Bombyx mori: one gene and its partner. The protein of the gene in region 2 purifies or fractionates together with the protein of the main gene of each other region. This does not show direct contact. Links are inferred from orthologs where the notes say so. Each region holds a gene or a part of one and is shown on either strand. Other genes may lie near its edges.

Region 1 (4,397 bases), on a different chromosome or scaffold from region 2:
CGAAAGACTTGAGAGACGTCTTGAAGACGACTTGAGAATCGTCGTGACCTAAAGGATTAGACGTCCGGTGCATTCGTATAAAGCGATGCAACGGTGTTCGAATCCCGCAGGCGGGTACCAATTTTTCTAATGAAATACGTACTTAACAATTGTTCACGATTGACTTCCACGGTGAAGGAATAACATGGTGTAATAAAAATCAAACCCGCAAAATTATAATTTGCGTAATTACTGCTGGTAGGACCTCTTGTGAGTACGCACGGGTAGGTACCACCGTACCGCCTATTTCTGCCGTGAAGCAGTAATGCGTTTCGTTTGAAGGGTGGGGCAGCCGTTGTAACTATACTGAGACCTTAGAACTTATATCTCAAGGTGTGTGGCGCATTTACGTTGTTGATGTCTATGGGTTCCAGTAACCACTTAACACCAGGTGGGCTGTGAGCTCGTCCACACATCTGGCAACAAAAAAAAAAAAACTACCGAAACATCAGAAATTTTCCACAGCTAATTTATGACATGTCATTTCGAGTGAGCGCACCAATATGGAGCTTTATCGTTTTGAGAAATTTCTTAAAATATGTGTTTTATTTACAGGATGGCAGAATATAAATTTAAAGACATAATTCTTGAAATTTGCGTCTCGAAAGTAGTTGAAAGTAAAATTCTTTCTTCTAAGGTTTCAACTATTAGGAAAAAAAAATTGACAGGCTATAGAAGAAATTTCTAAAAGAAAAACGTTCCTGTACATGAAAACGAGAACTGCCGGTTCATTAGCCCGTTGGAATTACAGCGTGTGGAAATGATAACTGGTGGTAGGACCTCTTGTGAGTCCGCACGGGTAGGTACCACCGCCCCGCCTATTTCTGCCGTGAAGCAGTAATGCGTTTCGGTTTGAAGGGTGGGGCAGTCGTTGTGACTATACTGAGACCTTAGAACTATATCTCAAGGTGTGTGGTGCATTTACGTTGTAGATGTCTATGGGCTCCAGTAACCACTTAACACCAGGTGGGCTGTGAGCTCGTCCACATATCTAAGCAATAAAAAAAAAATAAAAAAATAAAAAATTACAAAACCCACTGAAGCCGACACGAAATATGTCCTACCACTAGTAATACGAGATTGGCGACAGAACTATGCGCTGAGAATACTGCTGCTTTTTCTGTAGTGAATCTGTTTTATGTGGGATTCGTGTTTATGAACTTCGATTTTCAATTTACAAAAATCCTGTTCTGCTTTAAGGCATAATAAGTTATTTAGTTATATTATTTATTGTGGTATAATTAAAAAAATTAACATTTACATTCTAACTTTAATTTCACCTTCTACAGCAGACAAAAATCTCATATATTTACGAGGCGCCTCATACAGTTGGAAGCTTTGGGTTCGTGATTTCGTGCCTGTCTATGCGTGCCTGATTCTAATGCGTAATTATTTCATGTTTAGTTTCTGTATTCTTGGTGTTTTGTGGCTTAAAGGAATAGAACGCAGGGCTCCATCCATGAAATGTCTTGACTTCAATTGTCTTATCGATGGTTAAACGTTTAATCTATGAATAAAATATAAAGGACCTGGAACGCCGGCTGAAATCTATTTTTCAGAATTTCTTATCCCAAGTAAAACTGTGTTTTAGTCAGTAATTTAATAAAAAGTACAGAGCTTTAGTAAGAGGTTATTGACTAAAATGGAAAACGAAATATTGGACTCACTTAGCGACTTGAGGTATGTACGGTTATAATTTTTTGTAGGTTTGATCAAGTTAAAATCACCGGTTCTATTATTTTCACTTAAAAATGTTCTTTAAAATGGATAAATTAAGAAACTTTAAAACGACACGTTAGCGTTACCGAAAAACATTTCGCAATATGGTAAATTCAGAATTAATATTGACAGATTCAGTTGGTTTGACTATTTCGATATTCTTCGTTGACAACATAGAATTCCTTAACCTAACGAATACTATTACCTATCTACGAGTATATATAACCTAGCGTTTTTAAGCAATCACGATCAGAAAAAAAGCGGACCATTTTTTTTTTTTTCGGTGTTCCCTCGTCTTATACATAACTAAACCTACTCTCACAGTTCAGTCGTGTATGACCACGAAAACTGTAAAGTGTTCCATATGTCGGAAACAATATAATCACAATAAAAACGCTAGATTAACCATAAAAGTAGTTTTATGTAGTAGTATTGTGAATAATGGTTTTTCTACCTAAAAGAGGTACAATTTACAGTCTTCCACTAGTCTATTTCGTTAATCCTACATGATATATTTCCTTCCTTTAATATATCTTTCTCTTAATATAAAAGCATTGATTTCAATTTTATTTTAGTTTTTTTTTTATAAATACATGTCTATATTAACAGACCTTTAATGTATTAAATTAACCAAGTATGTCATTTGATCTGTAATTTTTTGTGTAAGACAAGTCATAAAACATTAGAAAAAATTTTAAGCTATGAAGGCCCACTCTCCGAAGAAGCTGTCTTTGCAAAGGCTATTGAGGGAGGTGCCAAGTCCCTTGACTTCACCAAACTTGTGCATATATTGGCTGAAGAGTTGAAGAATCTCTGTCACCTCGAAGAGACTGTAAACATGATTAATGATCCAGACGATTCAAGCTCTTTCCTGCTGGAACTTAGTTCATTTTTGAAAGAATTGGGATGTCCCTACAAGAAATTGGTAACAGGTGTGTAATTATTAAACATTAATCACCAATATCTATATATATAAAAATGAATTGCTGTTCATTAGTCTCGCTAAAACTCGAAAACGGCTGGACCAATTTGGCTAATTTTGGTCTTGAATTATTTGTGGAAGTCCAGAGAAAGTTTAAAAGGTAGATAAATATTAAAATGCTTGGAATTAAATGAAAATAACAATTTAGTTTTCCCTTTGATGGGTCTCCCGTTGGACGGATTCCTTTTGTTTGTTTTAAGTTTATACAAAAGCTTAGCTCTTTTATTTATCGATTGAGGCACTACGAAGTCTGCTGGGTCAGCTAGTAATACATAAAATAGAGAGGGTAATCAAAATATTTTTACTTACATAGTCACAATGATTTATTAAATAGTTATTTAATAGTTAGTACCAGTATTCAGAAGCAATTTTATAGCCTGTGGTCTACTAGGGTGTGGTTACAATTATCATTTAAACCAGAGTCAGAATGATGATACCTAGTTTGATGTTATCATGACCTACAGGATAAGTCATCTGGTACATCGGTATTGAACAATGTGATTGTGCCATTTCTTAAATACTACAACATGGTACCAATTTTTCTAATGTAACTAACACACATTCACGAATGATTTCCGTGATGAAGAAATAACAGTGTAATAAAAGTGAAACCTGCAACAATTATAATTTGGATAATAAATGATGGTCAGTGGTGGTCAGGTGGTCTGAATCACCACTGGCTGTGCTTGCAGTAAGGGCTGTTAGTTCAACAACCTTAATGGATTTGTATAATAATAAACTATTAAACTATGTTCAAACAGGTCATATGTCATCTCGACTACAATCTAAAGACGATCGTCTGTTACTGCTTGATTACCTGATCTCCGAGCTCATGGCAGCTAGAATGGTGAATGTAGATCGTCCACAAGATAAGGGCTCAGGCATGGAGATTGTTATGGTATATACTTAATCATTTAATTTCAACCATTTATTTTGAATTAAGATTATGCTGTGTAATTAAAATAGGGCTTTAAGTTTGGAGTCATTATGATCGCCAAATATTTTTGTTCAAGTCTAAATCTTGCATAAACTGGGTGGCCGTCCTTATTCTTGATCTCTTTGGGAGCATATAATTTGCTCAATGCAGAAAATATATTATCTTTAACAGCTACAGTTTATTTAAAAAAACTGAAATTCTAGTCTTCAACAACCATACACTAATTTTCAGCGTGAATCTCCAACAGCCAAAGATCTCAAAGATATATTGATTACTCTAAAATTCAACAAACCACCACCGAATATCACTCCAGAAGTGCTATTCTCCAAGCTGGAAGGAAAGTTAAAGGATACCATACAAAAGGAAGGTAAAAATATATATTTATTTTTGTAATCGAATACATATTGCATATATTAAATTGCTTATAATAAAATACTTTACAGTTTTACTAGATAAGTAGGTAGGCAGCGGCTTGGCTATGCCCCTGGCATTGCTGAAGTCCATGGGCGACGGTGACAACTCATCATCAGGTGGGCCGGATGGTCATCTGCCTACAAGGGCAATAAAAAAAAAGATTTTATATTTTTGATTGATTTAAAAATTTTACTATTTCATTTGATTGATGACATGAGTTATATAATAACATTGATGCGAGCACTCACCTTGTCAGATGAGCTCTAGTCTCAATCATATTAGATAACAAGCCCCATCTTTCAAATG
Region 2 (4,334 bases):
GACTATTTAAAATCAAGCCTAAACTTACAAAGTTCTGTGGAGGCTTGAGGTCATGGTTGGTTGGGGCTCGTTCCAGTGTCAGTGTAGTGGTAGCGGTGGCCAGCACCTTGCCGCCCTGCAACTCCACTGTCTGAATAATGATATCCATAATTATGTATTCTTACATGAAAGTTTTTTTTTTTAGTAATGCACACAGTGTACCACTTAACTTTGTAATAACGTACAAAAAATAACATTTTTTTATCATTTATTGACCACGATCTCAGAGTGTTTGTTTGCGCAATACACTAACTCTTATGCAAACAACCGTGAATGAAGTGTACCACAATAAGTTCGCACGTTACCAAATGACCGTGGGTTGTTGCGAAACCTCCAGTTTTAGAATTTAAAGTTAATAGAATAGAAATTAAAATTAATATTTTTATAATAAGGAACTTCGTTCCAATCCGGTGTCCCACGACACATTTTGTTTCTTCTGAAATATTAAACATATTTCAACCTGCTCTATACAATAGTGAAAATATAATTACATATTTTGCTGAACCATAGTATTTGGTATGATGTAGCACAAATAGTACAAAAATTGTATATATATTGTGTTGATTTTCAAAATTTTCTTTGTGTTATTATACCCAACTGATTCTTAATTTATAGACATTCAAAATTAATCAAGATAATCTAGAGCTCAACTATACATATTATGTATATTAATCCTTTTTTTTTTAAATTAACTTGAAGTGCTCTTGCATAACAGTCTCAAACAATAACATCAGTGCCCACATTATAGATACTTGTTTTTTTAAAAGCCGTCCCTTACTTTAGTAGCAGAGGAAGTTGACGATCGCCTTTTCTTATTGGCGGGCTGGTTCTCTCTGGCATGCCACCCGCCGCGCTGAACCCAAGAACGTCGAGACGAAGCCAGTGACAGGTCTAGGTCATCTTCCGAACGAGAATATGACATCTCTGATAGTAGTGTACCTGGACATTTTAAGGTTTTTTTTTTCTGTAATTTAACTAAGCAAATGTTTTCACAAAACAAGTGAAGTAGTGTAGTACTGATTATTTTATATTACATTGAACTTGTTAACATTGAAAATTATTATTTTCATAGACTCACGATATGGCAAACTCAATCTTGTTAAATACTTTTCAAATACTTGTTATGTGTATTTAATAGGGCCTATAAATACCACAGCGTGAATAATGCTATTTGCTTTAAAATAAATCATGATGTTGGCAGGCCAGTACTATTATTACTGGTCCATAAATTTATTTCAAATTGATATTGAGATCATCTTTTAGAAGACATAGAGCATATAATAATTGTTGGTGCATGATAATTGAAGTATTTACTTTAAATAAATAATTGTGAGTTAGATGTTGTTTAACTCTAGTTGTATAGATCTTGCTTTAATTATTTTTTAAAAGTAATGAAATGTCAGTACCTATCCGACTTTAAATGCATTACTAAAAGTATTACTGTCTCTTTCTAATGATTGCAATTAAGCTACAATGTTTTAATTAAATAACATTAATTTTATTGTTATTTATCAGGGTGACACAAATTGTGAAATAAACCTGTATATAAACTTTGATGTTTAAATTTTCAGAAAGAGAATCTTTTCGTAAACTTTATTACACAATAAGTGAAATCATCAACTTGTGAGGGCCATATGTACCAGTGAGGTGCCCTAACAACAAGCGAAATCATTTTTTTACCAGTAGAATTAAGTTCTGGAACTCCACTAAGCTTAGCATTGTGGTCTTGTTGAGCAGTTCCATTAAGGAATGCAAGCTTCTGTAAGGTTTCATCATTCAACTTGGCACGATTGTCATTGAATAAGAGGTCACGGGCCATGTCCAGTAGTTTACTCTGAAACAAATCAGATACACTTTCATAAATATCCATAAGTTGAATACTATGTCCCAAATGGTTTTTTTTTCTATTACTTCTACTCAATGGCTTAAAAGTTACCGGAGAAAATGCAAATTTGTACATTTTATTTGTTTAAGAGTGCCACTTCTATATCTTTCCATAATCCTATACACTGTTGCATAGATTTTTATACTATACAAGTCAAACCCAACCTACTTTACTGGTCAATCGTTGCCTTGGATCTGATCACTACAAAATTCACAAAATGACCTGCTAGACTAATCTGAAAATTTCATCAAAATTGGTCGAGCAATTTGACACCATCGGGATATTAACTTATATGTATAGGTATATTATTTATATAATTAAAACATCTATATCAATTAACAGTATTAATTAAGCATGTCTGTGACTTGGAAAACAACTATTACTATTTTATAACGAAAATAAACTTTTAAATGCCTTTATAATCAAACTTTCCTTACCAGTTCATTGTACTTCTTCAATATTATGTTTCTTTCTCTTTTTTCTCCATCAAGCAGTTTCCTGACATGAGCAAACTTAGATTCCCACTTGCCTAGTGTCTTTAGAGCTTCGTCAAGCTCACTTTGAAGGCGAACAGCCTCGGACTCGGCTGCTGCCCATTGACAGCGCACCCATTCCATTTGCTTTAAGAATGCTAAGAAATCTGCAAAGGGCAAACACAATTTTCACTGGATCCCTTCTGTCACTTAATATCATTCGTTAAAACAATACTAAAGGCTCTTATCGAATTATTTATGAATATGTAGGTGGGTTTATAACGCATCAATCACAATGTACACAAAATGAGTGGGTAGTTTATACACGCATTAAAAGTTGGTAGATTCTAATCATTTACAATGAACAACTAAAGAAAACTATGTTAAATGTAGTTTTAGTTTAATTTTTACATACATTCTTCTGCGGCTCCATCATTTAAAACATTATTCAAGCGGTTGATGTCATCAAATTGGGCTACAAGGGAGAGCGCGATGCTTGGACCGGAATCTGAATTTTCTGAACTCATTTTAATAAGTATATAGCTTTTTCCATTAAATAATTACTACAAAACTTTCAACACTTCTTCGCATTTCAATCTATATTTTGAAATGAATGCATAAATTCACTAATATATATTTTGTCAACTGTATAAACTTGAAATAACGACCATTCAGTGACGGATTTTCAAATTGAAGGAAGTATCTTAATCTACGGAAGTGTCAACGTCAAATTTATGGTCGTAGTTCCATTCAGCCTATTCTTTTGTATGATCTGAGTTGATTAATTTCAGACATTATTCCATTAGGATAAAATTAAATTAACGAAAGGATATTCGACAAACAATAGTCTCAGTATAATGGGGGCTATTTACAGAGGCTTTTTCAGTGAACTTTTTGGAAAATCCATAGAAGCTTTATTCATTGGCTTTGTTTCATTTCCCCATATATTTGCATTTTCACAGATGCCAAACTGTTTATAAACCACCATTATTACACATTTTTGTGTATTACATAGTGTACTTAAGAAATATGCAATTGTGAATTTTTTTGAAATTTTACTATTATTGTGACTTAATTTATAATTGAAAATTGAATAATAAGTGAATCACTAAATAAGTTTAAGATACGCAATAAAAATTATTGAGGATTGAAACCCCTTTCCCTATTTTAAATTCATTGTTTTTGTAAAAATCATTACAAAAACACCCTTTCAACAATAAAAAAAACTATAATTAAGACATCGGAAACTTCACTCAAGACAGATTTATTTTACCTTTTAGTGAAAGACAAAATGCAGCAAAAGCTATAATAATTACCAGCTGCATCACAAAATGAGTTCGTTTTCAAAGGATTGCTAGGGCTCACTAGGTAGGTACTTAAAAGTTTTACCCAATCTTTTAGAGGATTTTGTTTTTATAGCTTGGTAATATTTTATTTTGACATTGACAACAGATGGGACTCTTCAGTGAACTGACAAATCGCAATGACATTCGGCTGAGGACGGCGGTCTGTCCGTGTGGGCTTCGCAGTCTTGCGAGTAGTTGCCTGTGAGATAATAATATTTTCGAGTTTCCCGGCGCATTTCGCGACCGCGAATCGGTATGGCGGACGAGGAAAATAATTGTGATGACGGTGGTGGTGACCTGAAAGTGGGCCAGGCGTTTCGTTTGCGAGGCCGCAAGGGTGCCCTAAAGAAGAAGAATGTTTACCTGGTGAAAGATCACAAATTCATGCCGAGATTCTTCAAGCAGCCGACGTTTTGTTCCCACTGCAAAGATTTCATATGGTATGTATGTTGCATGTGTTGCTCTACCTTTGTTTTGTAGATCTTGTAGTATTAAAAATAGTAAAAATATACTCATTTGTTTACAGTTTAAATCGCTTTTCTTATCCGGTTATAGTTTTAGCTCGTAGGCCCAAGGTAAGAAGATACAAGC

The links.
Region 1: the proteins of rac GTPase-activating protein 1 (region 2) and protein FAM98A purify together in Homo sapiens (co-immunoprecipitation; 3 studies listed by BioGRID and IntAct, with this or other methods). This does not show direct contact. The link is inferred for Bombyx mori from reciprocal best matches to the Homo sapiens genes RACGAP1 and FAM98A.

What each region holds. Positions count from the first base shown.
Region 1 is NC_085130.1:5,588,682-5,593,078, reverse strand, and holds the start of protein FAM98A, read left to right. Parts: upstream 1-1,515; 5' UTR 1,516-1,681; coding exon 1,682-1,719; intron 1,720-2,457; coding exon 2,458-2,690; intron 2,691-3,501; coding exon 3,502-3,638; intron 3,639-3,908; coding exon 3,909-4,044; intron 4,045-4,397. UniProt on the Homo sapiens protein: Positively stimulates PRMT1-induced protein arginine methylation. Involved in skeletal homeostasis. Positively regulates lysosome peripheral distribution and ruffled border formation in osteoclasts.
Region 2 is NC_085114.1:3,029,208-3,033,541, forward strand, and holds the start of rac GTPase-activating protein 1, read right to left. Parts: upstream 3,098-4,334; 5' UTR 2,925-3,097; coding exon 2,813-2,924; intron 2,565-2,812; coding exon 2,362-2,564; intron 1,874-2,361; coding exon 1,720-1,873; intron 979-1,719; coding exon 818-978; intron 131-817; coding exon 29-130; intron 1-28.